Stegostoma tigrinum: one gene and its partner. The protein of the gene in region 1 purifies or fractionates together with the protein of each later gene. This does not show direct contact. Links are inferred from orthologs where the notes say so. Each region holds a gene or a part of one and is shown on either strand. Other genes may lie near its edges.

The links.
Region 2: the proteins of ndufaf5 (region 1) and ndufaf8 purify together in Homo sapiens (affinity purification with mass spectrometry; 3 studies listed by BioGRID and IntAct, counting the BioPlex papers as one, with this or other methods). This does not show direct contact. The link is inferred for Stegostoma tigrinum from reciprocal best matches to the Homo sapiens genes NDUFAF5 and NDUFAF8.

The regions. Positions count from the first base shown.
Region 1 is NC_081362.1:6,034,130-6,041,799, reverse strand, and holds the start of ndufaf5 (arginine-hydroxylase NDUFAF5, mitochondrial), read left to right. Parts: upstream 1-4,645; 5' UTR 4,646-4,876; coding exon 4,877-5,092; intron 5,093-7,418; coding exon 7,419-7,459; intron 7,460-7,637; coding exon 7,638-7,670. Other genes in the region: ESF1 homolog, read right to left, coding at 592-704. UniProt on the Homo sapiens protein: Arginine hydroxylase that mediates hydroxylation of 'Arg-111' of NDUFS7 and is involved in the assembly of mitochondrial NADH:ubiquinone oxidoreductase complex (complex I, MT-ND1) at early stages. May also have methyltransferase activity.
Region 2 is NC_081375.1:24,522,763-24,530,565, reverse strand, and holds the start of ndufaf8 (NADH dehydrogenase [ubiquinone] 1 alpha subcomplex assembly factor 8), read left to right. Parts: upstream 1-4,694; 5' UTR 4,695-4,721; coding exon 4,722-4,820; intron 4,821-7,803. Other genes in the region: AP-4 complex accessory subunit Tepsin, read right to left, coding at 4,572-4,610. UniProt on the Homo sapiens protein: Involved in the assembly of mitochondrial NADH:ubiquinone oxidoreductase complex (complex I, MT-ND1). Required to stabilize NDUFAF5.

The DNA of each region.
Region 1 (7,670 bases):
GGTTTTAATAAAATATCATCAATCTGAATTGTTAACTCTCTTTCTCGCTTCACTGATGTTACCTGACCTGCTGAAAATTTGCTAATGTTTTTGGTATTGATTGTTTTTTTGTACTGTTGGTCATTGGCTATAATTGGAGCTGGAACAACATTTGATGGTTTCTCTGTTACAGAACAAACTATTCCGTTAATTCTCCAGTGTAAAATTTGGGATTGCCTTGTCAAATCATGTTCTGCTTATTTTATATTAACTATTGCTCTCATGACCCTTATGAGATGCAGGAATTGACCATTTCCATCATCCACTCCTGCCTTAGCATATCCTCACCTATGCTCTCCCTACCTCCGGGCCTAACTGTTCCCAATGCACACCTAACCAACCTTCCAGCTCTTCTAAGTAGCTGCTCCTACCAGGCCTGCTATCAATGGCACGTTATGATCCTCCTTCCAACTCCAGCTTCACACACCTGCAATTGATCTACGCCATCCATCTTCTAACTATGCCTTGGCTTATGCGTCTTTCTGCTGCCCTTGAGGAGCAAGCTTGGTAGCTTCTCAGTTCAGATTAAGGCACCAAAATGCCAATATTTACCTCATGTCAATTTTTTTTAAAAGAGTTCCTTTAGCTCTTGCAGTTCCAAGTGCCTCTTCATTTATCTGACGGTCAGTACAGGGTATTTTTAACAAACACCTCAGCACCCACATTTCAAAGGCTCAAAGAATTCCTCAACAACGTGAAGGACACCCGGATAGAAGAGGACTGGGTGATGATATCCTTCAACGTAACAGCACCATTTACATCCATAAACATCAATCTAGCCAAAGAATCAGCTGCCACACTGCTGAACAAATCAAGTAAGCAGACAACCCAGGACACCACCAACATCAAAAAGGACACCACCATGAAACTACTAGATCTGCACCTCACGATCTACATCACCTTCAACGACAGCACATACAAAGAAAAAAACGGAACACCAATGGGATCCTCAATATCAGGACTGATTGCAGAAGCAGTAATGCAAAGATTAAAATGGACAGCACCATTATACAATCAAACTTTGGGACCGATATGTAGATGATACCTTCATGATTATCAAATGCACAAAACTAGAAGAAACCACTGACACATAAACAACATCCTCATCGGGATAAAATTCACAAAAGACAATGACAACAACAATGGACTACCCTTCCTGGACATAATAGTAGAATGCAAAAACAGCAAGGAACTCTAGACTATTGTATATGGAAAGACCACACATACAGACCAGATACTCAACTACACGAGCAACCACCCCAACACCCACAAACAGAGTGGCATCACGACACTATGTAAACGAGCCACGACACAGCAACCTGGAAATATGCAAAGCAGAACAGGAACACCCATACGGAGCCTTCAAAAGGAATGGATACTCAAAAAGCACAATCTGCTACTACCTCCGAGACAGACCAGAACAGGAAGACACAACACGGCCAGACTCTCAAATCACCCTACCACACATCAAGGACATTTCAGAGATGACCAGCAGAGTTCTTAGACCCCGACGAATCACGGCAGCCCAAACTGACAACCACCCTACGACAGCTACTGACGAACTTAATGGATCCCATACCCAAAACCAGCAAAACCAACGTACTATACAAAGTAAAAACCAAAAGAACTGCGGCTGCTGTAAATCAGGAACAAAAACAAAATTGTTGGGAAAGCCCAGCAGGTCTGGCAGCATCCGTGAACGAAAAAAACAGAGTTAACGTTTCAGGTCCGAGGAAGAGTCACTGGACCAGAGAAGTTAACTCTGTTTTTTCCTTTCACAGATGCCACCAGGCCTGCTGTACTATACAAAATAGCATGTAAGGACTGTGAGAAACACTACTTAGGCCAAGCCGAAAGAAAACTGACAATAAGGAATATACACACACCAACTAGCCACCAAGAGACATGACCAATTCTCATTTGCCTCACTACACACAGACGAGGGACACAAATTCAACTGGGACAACACAGCGATAATCACACAAGCCAAACAGAGACACGCCAGGGAATTCCTGAAGGCCTGGTATTCCAACCGGAACTCCACCAACAAGCACACTGATTTAGGTCCTGTGTACAAACTACTGAGAAACAGAACTGGAAACAAAACCAACCATCCCAGCAAACTGAGGGAGATAAATAACAAGCAGGACAGAACACCGATGCTTCACCAGAGGCACACCGACGATGTTACCTAGCAGGGTGAAGAAACGTTTGCAACCAAACCCACCAGCTCAGTGAGCATGTCTACAACCTTATCCTTGACTATCTCTACCCTTTTCTAATTTCTGAATTGCATCTGCTATCTTGTTATTATTCATTCAAAACAATTTACAAATTCTTCCAGTCTAACACCACCCACTTCAACCTTCGTATTAATGTCTAAAATTAAGATCATTCAAAATTCTACTCCCATGTCCATATTGTTGTTTTATGTCTGAAGGTGACACTTTCAGTTACACCATCATTTTCACACGTAACCTGAGAGTAAAAAAATCTTATACTCCATCTTACCCCCGGGTCACTTGAAGCATGAGATTCTTCTGCAAACTTGTCTAATGTTACAATTAATAGCTTAATTTGCATACTTAGGCGTGAATGTAATGTTTATACATAGTGTTTGAGTTACAGGGAGAGGCGAGGTAGGCTGGGGCTTTTCCCCCCAGAGTGTCAGTGGCTGAGGGGGTGACATTATTGAGGTTTATTACATCAAGAGGGGCATGGATTAGGTAAATAGCCAAAGTCTTTATATTTTACCCTAGAGGGTATGGGTTTATGAAGGGAAATATTGTAAAGGGACCAGAGGGATAACTTTTTCACACAGAAGATGGTGCGTGTATGGAATGAGCTGCCCGTGGAAGTGATGGAAGCTGATACAATTACAACATTTAAAAGGCATCTGGATGTGTACATAATAAGGCGGCTTGAGAGGGATATGGCCAAATGCTGACAAATGGGACGAGGTCAGATTGGGATATCTGGTCGGGAGGGACGAGTCGGATTGAAGAATCTGCTTCCGTGCTGTATGACCCTATGATAGTTAGAGTAAATGTCTGTTCGAATCTTCAACATCATCATATCCACAGCCAGTTCTTCTATTTTGCAGAGCACAACACTGGCTTTGCCGCATCAGGCTGGGGGCTAAACTAGAGTACCATAAGGTGAAGTAGCAGAAACTAGCAGGGCGGCACAGTGGCTCAGTGGTTAGCACTGCAGCCTCACAGTGCAAGGGACCCGGGTTCGATTCCAGCCTTGGGTAACTGTCTGTGCAGAGTTTGCACATTCTCCCCGTGTCCGCGCGGGTTTCCTCCGGGTGCTCCGGTTTCCTCCCACAGTCCAAAGATGTGCAGGCTAGGTGGATCAGCTATGCTAAATTGCCCGTAGTATTCAGGGGTGTGTGGGTTATAGGGGGGATGCTCCAAGGGGCGGTGTGGACTTGTTGGGGCGAACGGCCTGCTTCCACACTGCAGGGAATCTAATGCAACCCATCAAAGTCTGCTCAACCATTCAATGAATCATGACTGGTCTGACAACCCTCAGCTGAGGCAGCAAGTACTATCTCAAACAACTTTCTCACTTTTGTTTTCAAATATCACTCACATCACCTCCTGAGATCTCTGCAGCCAAGCCCTTTGGCCCAACTCGCCTATGCCAACCATGTCTCCTAAGCGAAACCAGTCCCCTTTAACCGGTGTTTGGCCTCTATCCCTCTAATTCTTTCATATCTATGTAGCTGTCCAAATGCCCTTTAAATAGACCCCACCACTTACACGTTCACTCTTACAGTTAATTGTGCGGGCCCTGGAGGGTGAACCTTCGGTTCAGACCGGGATAGCAATCTGGCAGCACCAGATTTAATCACATTTCCCCAAACGACCCCGGACAGCCTCGGGGAGAGGGGGTGTTCGAACCCACCACCACGGGCTCACCAGATGCCGACACTACCGGATGTGAGTTTGCTCGCTGAGCTGGAAGGTTAGTTTTCAGACGTTTTGTCACCATTCTAGGTAACATCAGTGAGCCTCCGACGAAGCGCTGGTGTTATGTCCTGCTTTCTATTTATCTGGTTAGGTTTCCTTGGGTTGGTGATGTCATTTCCTGTGTTGATGTCATTTCCTGCATTGGTGATGCCATTTCCGGTTCTTTTTCTCAGGGGATGGTAGATTGGCTCCAAATCGTGTTTGTTGATGGAGTTCCGGTTGGAATGCCATGCTTCTAGGAATTCTTGTGCGTGTCTCTGTTTGGCTTGTCCTAGGATGGATGTGTTGTCCCAATCAAAGTGGTGTCCTTCCTCATCTGTATGTAAGGATACGAGTGATAGTGGGTTATGTTGTATCCTTACACTATCACTCGTATCCTTACATTCAGAACCTCAACCTGAGCTACAAATCTTCTCAAAACTCGCTAGCTGACACTACCGCTTGGCCAAGCAACAGGTAACCAGCTGGCAGAGCGCGTGTACCCACCTCCGATCCGCGTGCGTCCCCTTGGCCAGTGCCCCGTGACCCTTCACCTCCACCTGGGGGCGTGGTCAAGCTCGCGGGCTCCCCGTTGAATGGTAGCGGAAGGAGAGTGGGGGGGGGGCACAATTTTCAGCTCCGCTCGACATCATCGGGCGCCGACGACTTCTCCACATAACGCCCCCCCCCATCCTACCCGGGCCGAATGGTTCGGTCGGAGCCGACTGGCGCATGCGCTCTGTGGTAGTTCCGGCGGCTTGGGCTCCTTCTAGTCGGTTGGAGCCCTCGGGGAGTGGGAGAGAAAGGGACGAAAGGAAGAAGGGAACCGTCAATGGAGCGCGTTCCGCGGCCTTTCCCCCTTCGCTAGGGGCCCCGGGAAGATGAGCGGGATTCCGTGCCGACTCCGGCGCCTCCTCTCTCTCTCCAGCCTCGGCTGCCCTCCGGGCTCCGGGAGCATCGCCCACCTCGGGTGGCGGCGCTGGTCATCGAGATCGGAGAGCCCGATGAACGTGTTTGACAGAAAGATGAAGCGGCGGCAGAAAAACTGGGCGTCCTCCATCCCCGGGAGCGAGAGATATGATTATCTGAAGGAGGAGGTTAGCACATTGAGAGTTCACCACGTTTAATAACGATATGAAGGCATTTAAAACCAGTAGCGCAGGCTGATAGCTTGTTGCTTGGTGTAAGTTATGCACTCATTACAAATGAGGCCATTTAGCCCCTCCGACATGTTTCTGGCATTCACTGGGATCGGGACAGATTTGTATCTCAACTCCTCGTTCAGTCGTGGCATGCAGACTTTACAGATAAGATCAGTAATTATAGTTCGTACCGAACTGCCCTTCAGTGTCTCACTCAGCCATTTCAAAGGCTAGTTAAAAGACTTGGGTCAATCTCACTGCTAAACATCTGGAATCATATGCCCTTAAATCAAGTCCTGTTTGCCTTTCAGCACGCTATTAAACCTCATAGAATCCCTACAGTGTGGGAACAGGCCCGTCGGCCCAATGGGTTCATACTGACCCTCTGAGGAGCATTCTGCCCAGGCCAAATCCCTGCCCTTTCCTTGTAACCCTGCATTTCCTGTGCCTGATATACATCCTAATCTACACATGCCTGGACACTGAGGGCAATTTAGCGTGGGCAATCCACCTAACCTCTACCTTTTTGGACTCTGGGAGGAAACCGGAGCACCTGAAGGAAACCCACACAGACACAAGGAGAATGTGCAAACCCTACACAGACGGTCACCTGAGCGTGGAATTGAACCCGGTTCCCTGGTGCTGTGAGGCAACAGTGCTAACCACTGAGCCATCGTTGCTGCCTTCATTGACTCCCAATCAAGCACTGGCCTCAATTTTTAAAATGTCCTCAAATCCGTCCATACCCTTGATCTTCCGTATCTGTGGAACCTCTTCTGGATCCAAACCCCCTGTGTCCCTCTCAGCCCTTTGAGCATCCCTGATTTCAGACACTTCACTATTAAGTGGGTATGCCTTCAGCTGTCTGGTCCCTAAGCTCTGGAATTCATTCTGTAGCGCTCTCCTTGTAAGGCACTTATTAAAGCATGCCTCTTTGGCCCAGGTTTAGGTCACATCATCTGAAAAATCATAAGCAGTAGGAGCAACAGTAGTCCATTAAAGCCTGCCCCACCAGTCTACAAAATCGTGACTGATCTGCCCTAGGCTTCAAATCCTCTTTCTCATAGCCCTCTACCCCTCTGTTTTTTTTTTAAATCTATCTATCTCCTCTTTAAATACTTTCTGTGATCTACTTCAACTCTCGGGTAGAGAATTCCAGATATTAACTACTGTCTAGGAGAAGTTCCTTCCCATCTCAATTTAAATGGGTGTACTGTTATTCTTTAATTATATCCTGTAACTTGAGATTTCCCCACTAGTGGAAATTCATCCCAGCACCTACCTGTCAAGCCCCTCAAAATCTTGTATGTTTCACTGAGATCACCCCTCATTCTTGTAAACTGTACTGAATAAAGGCCCAACCTGTTGAGCCATTTTCAATAAGTCAGCCCTTTTATCCTTGTCTAGTGAATCTCTTTCGAACTCCTCCAATGTCAAAACATCAGTTTTTAAATGCAAGGATCAAAACTGTACACAGTACTGCAGATATAGCCTCACTAACACCCTGTACAGTTACAACAAAACTTCCTGATTGTTTTAAACTCAATCCCCTCACATTGAAGACCAGAATTCCATTTGCCGCCTTAAATACTTGCTGTACCTGCAAGATAACTTTTTGTTATGTTCAAAAGAACAACTACGTGCCTCTGTGCTCTTTGAGAGCTTCTCTGCTCAATTTAAACAATAGTCTGCCTTTTGAGTAAATCCTTATGTAGCTCGGTGTCATATTTTGTCTTAATGCTCATGTGATACTTCATTCTGTTAAAGGCATTATGTAAATACAAGCTGCTTTACTCTCTGATACCCTTGGGTTGTTCTGTTTTAAAATATGACTATAGTTTTGATGCTGTTCTGATCATAACTGAAAGTAACATTCTGTTAGGAGTAGGGATACTTGACCCATTGAGTTTGCTCCACCAGATCTAGCCTTAACCCCCACTTCCTGCACTGTAGAAGCAGATATAAAATATTCTGTTGGGACATACCTGATCTCAACGTTTCTAATTTTGAGACATCATCAGCTGAGTTCGCATCTGGCGGAGATGGACGGACTCGCATCTACCCATTTCACAAAAACCTGGAAGGGGTGAAGTGGGGGTGGGATTCATTGTATAAAGCCAATAAGAGAGGAACAGGCCATTTGGCACCTCAAGTCTTGTTCTGCCATTCAGTCAGATCATGGCTGATCGATTACAAAGCAAACTGTTTCTTTATATTTAAGTTGCAGTCATGAGATATCTTTTTATGTCCTCTAGATCACAATAATTTTGCAATTGTGCAGGTTGGAAGCAGAGTTGTGGACCGTGTTTTTGATATTGTAAGGTAAGTTTGAGACCATTGTGTTATCTCTTCTGTAAGGACTCGTTTAGTATTTCCTTTATCTGCAGTGTATTCAACCTTTTAATCATTCTCTCTCTTCCAGTTTAAATGCTAGCACAATGTTCTGCAAAAGAATGCTGGAAATTTTATCTGTGTGTGATTTCACTTTGTTTTGCTTTAGAACCTTTCCCCTTGCATTGGACATTGGGTGCGG
Region 2 (7,803 bases), on another chromosome or scaffold:
CCCACCACAGTCACCCCTCTCCCTCCCTCACCCACACACCACTGTAACCCCCCTCCCTCCCTCACCCACCACTGTAACACCCCTCCCTCCCTCCCTCCCTCGCCCACCGCTCTAACCCCCTCCCACCCCACCTTGCCCACCGCTCTAACACCCCTCTCTACCCACCTCGCCCACCGCTCTAACCGCCCTCCCTCCCCGCCTTGCCCACCGCTCTAACACCCCTCCCTCCCTCCCTCCCCACCTCACCCACCACTCTAACCCCCCTCCCTCCCTCCCTCCCCACCTCGCCCACCGCTCTAACCCCGCTCCCTCCCTCCCTCCCCCCCTCACCCACCGCTCTAACCCCCCTCCCCCCTCGCCCACCGCTCTACCCCCCCTCCCTCCCTCCCTCGCCCACCGCTCTAACCCCCTTCCCTCCCTCCCTCCCCCCCTTGCCCACCGCTCTAACACCCCTCCCTCCTGCCCTCGTCCACCGCTCTAACCCCCCTCCCTCCCCCTCGCCCACCACTCTAACCCCCCTGCCTCCATCCCCCCTCGCCCACCACTCTAACCCCCCTGCCTCCCTCCCCCCTCGCCCACCACTCTAACCCCCCTGCCTCCATCCCCCCTCGCCCACCACTCTAACCCCCCTGCCTCCCTCCCCCCTCGCCCACCACTCTAACCCCCCTGCCTCCATCCCCCCTCGCCCACCACTCTAACCCCCCTGCCTCCCTCCCCCCTCGCCCACCACTCTAACCCCCCTGCCTCCCTCCCCCCTTCGCCCAGCACTCTAAACCCCCTCCCTCCCTCCCTCACCCACCACAGTCACCCCCCTCCCTCCCTCACCCACACACCACTGTAACCCCCCTCCCTCCCTCACCCACCACTGTAACACCCCTCCCTCCCTCCCTCGCCCACCGCTCTAACCCCCTCCCACCCCACCTTGCCCACCGCTCTAACACCCCTCCCTACCCCCCTCGCCCACCGCTCTAACCCCCCTCGCCCACCGGTCTAACCCCCCCTCCTCACTCCCTCCCCCCTCGCCCACCGCTCTAACTCCCCTCCCTCCCGCCCTTGCCCACCACTCTAACCCCCCCTCCCCCCCGCCCACCACCCTAACCCCCCTCCTTCCCTCACCCACCACTGTAATCCCCCTCCCTCCCTCACCCGCCCACCACTCTAACCCCCCTCCCTCCCGCCCTTGCCCACCACTCTAACCCCCCTCCCTCCCGCCCTTGCCCACCACTCTAACCCCCCCTCCCCCCCGCCCACCACCCTAACCCCCCTCCCTCCCTCACCCACCACTGTAATCCCCCTCCCTCAACCACCACTCTAACACCCCACCCTCCCTCCCTCACCCACCACTGTAACCCCCCTCCCTCCCTCCTTCACCCACCACTCTAACCCCCCTCCCTCCCTCCCTCACCCACCACTCTAACCCCCTCCCTCACCCACCCCCCACTGTAAGTCCCCTCCCTCACCCACCCACCCACCCACCACTCTAACCCCCCTCCCTCCCTCCCTCCCTCCCTCACCCACCACTCTAACACCCCTCCCTCCCTCCCTCACCCACCCACCACTGTAACCCCCCCTCCCTCCCTCACCCACCCACCCACCACTCTAACCCCCCTCCCACCCTCACCCACCCACCACTGTAACCCCCCTCCCTCCCTCACCCACCCACCACTCTAACCCCCCTCCCTCACCCACCCACCACTGTAACCCCCCTCCCTCCCTCACCCACCACTGTAACCCCCCTCCCTCCCACACCCACCCACCACTCTAACCCCCCTCCCACCCTCACCCACCCACCACTGTAACCCCCCTCCCTCCCTCCCTCACCCACCCACCACTGTAACCCCCCTCCCTCCCCCCCCCACCCACCACTCTGATCCCCCCACCCACCCACCACTCTGATCCCCCTCCCTCCCCCCCCACCCACCCCTCTGATCCCCCTCCCTCCCCCCCCACCCACCCCTCTGATCCCCCTCCCTCCCCCCCCACCCCTCTGATCCCCCTCCCTCCCCCCCCACCCACCCACCACTCTGATCCCCCTCCCTCCCCCCCACCCGCCACTCTGATCCCCCCACCCACCCACCCACCAACCACTCTGATCCCCGTCCCTCCCCCCCCACCCACCACTCTGATCCCCCCACCCACCCACCCACCACTCTGATCCCCCTCCCTCCCTCCCCCCCCACCCACCACTCTGATCCCCCTCCCTCCCCCCCCACCCACCACTCTGATCCCCCTCCCTCCCCCCCCACCCACCCCTCTGATCCCCCTCCCTCCCCCCCCACCCACCCACCACTCTGATCCCCCTCCCTCCCCCCCCACCCGCCCCTCTGATCCCCCTCCCTCCCCCCCCACCCGCCCCTCTGATCCCCCTCCCTCCCTCCCCCCCCACCCGCCACTCTGATCCCCCCACCCACCCACCCACCACTCTGATCCCCGTCCCTCCCCCCCCACCCGCCACTCTGATCCCCCTCCCTCCCTCCCTCCCCCCCCACCCACCACTCTGATCCCCCTCCCTCCCACCCACCCACCCACCCACCACTCTGATCCCCCTCCCTCCCTCCCCCCCACCCACCCACCACTCTGATCCCCCTCCCTCCCTCCCCCCCCACCCACCCACCACTCTGATCCCCCTCCCTCCCTCCCCCCCACCCACCCACCACTCTGATCCCCCTCCCTCCCTCCCCCCCCACCCACCCACCACTCTGATCCCCCTCCCTCCCTCCCCCCCCACCCACCCACCACTCTGATCCCCCTCCCTCCCTCCCCCCCACCACTCTGATCCCCCTCCCCCCCCACCACTCTGATCCCCCTCCCTCCCTCCCCCCCCACCCACCCACCCACCACTCTGATCCCCCTCCCTCCCTCCCTCCCCCCCCCCACCCACCACTCTGATCCCCCTCCCTCCCTCCCTCCCCCCCCCACCCACCACTCTGATCCCCCTCCCTCCCTCCCTCCCCCCCCCACCCACCACTCTGATCCCCCTCCCTCCCTCCCTCCCCCCCCCACCCACCACTCTGATCCCCCTCCCTCCCTCCCTCCCCCCCCCCACCCACCACTCTGATCCCCCTCCCTCCCTCCCTCCCCCCCCACCCACCACTCTGATCCCCCTCCCTCCCTCCCTCCCCCCCCCACCCACCACTCTGATCCCCCTCCCTCCCTCCCTCCCCCCCCCCACCCACCACTCTGATCCCCCTCCCTCCCTCCCTCCCCCCCCCACCCACCACTCTGATCCCCCTCCCTCCCTCCCTCCCCCCCCCACCCACCACTCTGATCCCCCTCCCTCCCTCCCTCCCTCCCCCCCCCACCCACCACTCTGATCCCCCTCCCTCCCTCCCTCCCCCCCCACCCACCACTCTGATCCCCCTCCCTCCCTCCCTCCCCCCCCCACCCACCACTCTGATCCCCCTCCCTCCCTCCCTCCCCCCCCCACCCACCACTCTGATCCCCCTCCCTCCCTCCCTCCCCCCCCCACCCACCACTCTGATCCCCCTCCCTCCCTCCCTCCCCCTCCCTCCCTCCCTCCCTCCCCCTCCCTCCCTCCCTCCCCCCCCCCACCCACCACTCTGTTCTCCCTCCCTCCCTCCCTCCCCCCCCACCCCCCCACCCCCCCACCCACCACTCTGTTCTCCCTCCCACCCTCCCCCCCACCCTCCCCCCCACCCTCCCCCCCCCCCTCCCCCCCCACCCCCCCACCCTCCCCCCCCCCTCCCCCCCCACCCCCCCACCCACCACTCTGTTCTCCCTCCCACCCTCCCCCCCACCCTCCCCCCCCACCCACCACTCTGTTCTCCCTCCCACCCTCCCCCCCACCCTCCCCCCCCACCCCCCCACCCACCACTCTGTTCCCCCACCCTCCCCCCCCACCCCCCCACCCACCACTCTGTTCCCCCACCCTCCCCCCCCACCCCCCCACCCCCCCACCCACCACTCTGTTCCCCCACCCTCCCCCCCCACCCCCCCACCCACCACTCTGTTCCCCCTCCCTCCCTCCCCCCCCCACCCACCCACCACTCTGTTCCCCCTCCCTCCCTCCCCCCCCACCCACCCACCACTCTGTTCCCCCTCCCTCCCTCCCCCCCCACCCACCACTCTGTTCCCCCTCCCTCCCTCCCCCCCCACCCACCACTCTGTTCTCCCTCCCTCCCCCCCACCCACCACTCTGATCCCCCTCCCCCCCACCCACCACTCTGATCCCCCTCCCCCCCCACCCACCACTCTGATCTCCCTCCCCCCCCACCCACCACTCTGATCTCCCTCCCCACCCACCCACCAACCACTCTGATCTCCCTCCCTCCCCCACCCACCCACCCACCCACCACTCTGATCCCCCTCCCTCCCTCCCTCCCCCACCCACCCACCCACCACTCTGATCCCCCTCCCTCCCCCACCCACCACTCTGATCCCCCTCCCTCACCCACCCACCACTCTGATCCCCCTCCCTCACCCACCCACCAACCACTCTAACCCCCCCTCCCTCACCCACCACTCTAACTAACTAACTAACCTACCTACCTCCCTCCCTCCCTCTCTCCACCTCCACCATTCTAACCCCCCCCCCTACGTTCTCCGCTCACCCGCTGCATGAAGCCCACTTTCTCCCCGATTGTTGCCATCGTCCCGCCTCCTTTGACGGACAACCGCCGCTGTCCAATGGATAGCCGCTTCGCCGACCTCGTGCGTCCATTCGGGGGCGGCGGTCGGCGGAATCACGTCACGGAGTCAAGATGGCCGCGCCCAGGGCGATGCCGCGGACGGAGGTTTGGAGCCGCACTCGGGAAAAGCTCAGGAGCTTTCCACATTTTATGGCAGCGTGTGCCGCGGAGGTCAGTTCGTATCTTATTTTAATCCTGTTCAGGTATTGCCTTATCGAACACTCTACCGGAATTGTGTGTCTGTTTTGCAGCAGAATTATACATGGATTTTTCAAGTGACCTCGCTGTAAACCGGTCTTGGGCAGATGGAGGTCAAAAGGGACAGAGCAGACAGCTGTTTCCCAAAGGGGGAGCAATGGAGGTAGAGGCAGTGGGCAGAGTTCTCCGAAGTAGGGCTAAGGTGGCCGACTGGGATTGGACTATGGAAAGATGCACATCGAGCCCAAATCATCACATCAAACCACTGCCAGATGTGGGAGATTGTAAGTCTGGAGGAGTTTGAGCGAAAGGAGACGTGTAAACCATCAAGTTGGGCGTTGTGACAGGTAGCCTTTGGTTCTATAGTGTAATGTAAGTGCCCCCAGCTCTGAAGATGCTGCCGGATCAGCTGAGTTTCTCCAAATTTTCGGTTTTTGGTTCAGATTTCCAGTATCTGCAGTTCTCTTTTTGCATTTTTGCTTCCTTTTTGACTGAGTGCTGGAGCAGACTGTGTTGTTAAGTTGAAGAAGTTCGTCCTGGTGATGTCCAAGATGTTGATGGCTGAAGCCAAGTACTTAATTTCTGAAGAAAGGGGGTTCTAGGCCCGAAACGTCAGCTTTCCTGTGCCTCTGATCTGCTTGGCCTGCTGTGTTCGTCCAGCTCTACACCTTGTTATCTCAGATTCTCCAGCATCTACAGTTCTTACTCTCTCTGAAACACTTTATTGAATGGTGCCTTTTTATTTGCAACTTCTGACTTCATAGAAATCAGCGGTGCAGTAGGAGGATGATGCCTTTGGGGCTGTGGATTTTGTTGAGGGACTGAAAATTGTGTTTTCTGCTTTCCACCAGTGTTCAATTGGAGGAAAATGTATGCAGACAACAAAGGCCTGGTCAGAGGTTTGATAAAAGTAGAGCTGGGTGTCATGAGAGTACATTTGGAGACTGACCATTAGTCTCTAGGCGATAAGGCTGAAAAGCTGGCACCGAAGACTGTGTAGAGAAGGGGCTGATGATACATGGTTGGATGACTGTGCAGGTTAAAGTGCTGTCTTGACTAGAGAAACAATTATTTTACAATAAAGAAATAAACATCTCCATGCCATACAACGTTGTCAGCAAAACTTACGGAATGATGTAAAAACCAAAAGAACTGCAGATGCTGTGAATCAGAACAAAAACAAAGTTGCTGGAGAAGCTCAGCAGGTCTGGCAGCATCTGGGAAGGCAAAAGAAAAGTTAATGTTTCAGGACTGATGACCTTCCTCTCAACTGTTGGTAGATGGGAAAACGTCAGTTTATCTGCAGAAAATAGTGAGGTGGGTGGGTTAGGGAGTAAACGATGGGATAGAGCCCAAAGAGAGAGAGACAGTGGAACAGACAAAGGAATTACCAATGATCAGGCTGGGAGGGTGAATAGTTGTTAATGGGGACTGTTAATGACTAACAACAGTGGGTATGTAATGGCAGGCTTTGTGGTAACAAGGCCTGGTGTGTGGGGTAGGCAGGTGGGACATGGGAGGGTTTAGGCCATAAAATTATTGAATGTAGCTTCCTCTACATTGGGGAAAGAAGCGTACACTTGGCAACTGTTTCGCAGAACATCTATGTTCTGCTCGCAAGAAAGACTCTGAGCTACTTGTTGCCTGCCACTTCAACGCACCACCCTGCTCCCTGGCTAACATCTCTGTCTCTCGCTTGCTGCAGTGTTCCAACGAAGCCCAATGCAAGTTGGAGGAACAACATCTCATTTTCTGCTTGGGGACCCAGAGCCCTCCAGACTCAATATTGAGTTCAATAATTTTAGGGCCTAAACTCTCCCATGTCCCAGCCCCCCACCCCACACACCTGTCCTTGTTACCACATAGCCTGCCATTACACACCCTCTGTAGTTAGTCACTAACAGTCCCCATTAACAACTATTCACCCTCCCAGCTTGATCGTTAGTAACTCCTTTATCTGTCTAACAATTTTTTTCTCTCTTTTGTGCTCTATCCTATCGTTTGCCCCCTACCCCACCCACCTTCCTATTTTCTGCATAAAAACTGATATTTTCTCGCCACTGTCAGTTCTGAGGAAGGATCACCGGACCCAAAGTGTTAACTCTGATTTTACCTTCCCTGATGCTGCCAGACTTGCTGAGCTTCTGCAGCAAATTTGTTTGTGTTAGGGAATAACGTGCTACTCTTGGACACTTTTCAGTTCTCTAGTGTGAACTTGCAAGTGTCAGACATTTTTTTCCCCTCTTACTTGGACTGGCGATCCTACTTCCCTCACTCTTCAACTGAACTGCTTAATTATTCGTCACATAGAATTGCTGAATCCATACAGTGTGGAATCAGGCTATTCAGCCCATCAAATCACCACCACCCCTCTGAGAAGAGCATCCCACCCAGACTGACCGCCTACCCTGACTCCATAACTCCACATTTCCCATGGTTAATCCAACTAGCTTGCACATCCCTGGATACCAAAGTATGTAGCTGGATGAACACAGCAGGCCAAGCAGCATCTCAGGAGCCCAAAAGCTGACGTTTCGGGCCTAGACCCTTCATCAGAGAGGGGGATGGGGAGAGGGTTCTGAAATAAAAGGGTCTAGGCCCAAAATGTCAGCTTTTGTGCTCCTGAGATGCTGCTTGGCCTGCTGTGTTCATCCAGCTCCACACTTTGGTATCTTGGATTCTCCAGCATCTGCAGTTCCCATGATCTCTGCTCACATCCCTGGTCACTATGGGGTGTTTAGTCTGGTTAATCCATCTAACCTGCACATCTTTGGGCTATGGGAGGAAACACACAGATATGGGGAGTATGTGCAAACTCCACATAGACAGTTGCTCAAGGGTGTAATTGAACCTGGGACCCTGGCACTGTGAGGCAGTGCTAACCAATTGCGAAATGATCCACATATGTTCGATAGTTGCTCTTTTTGTATTCCTATTAATAATCTTACTCCTTGCT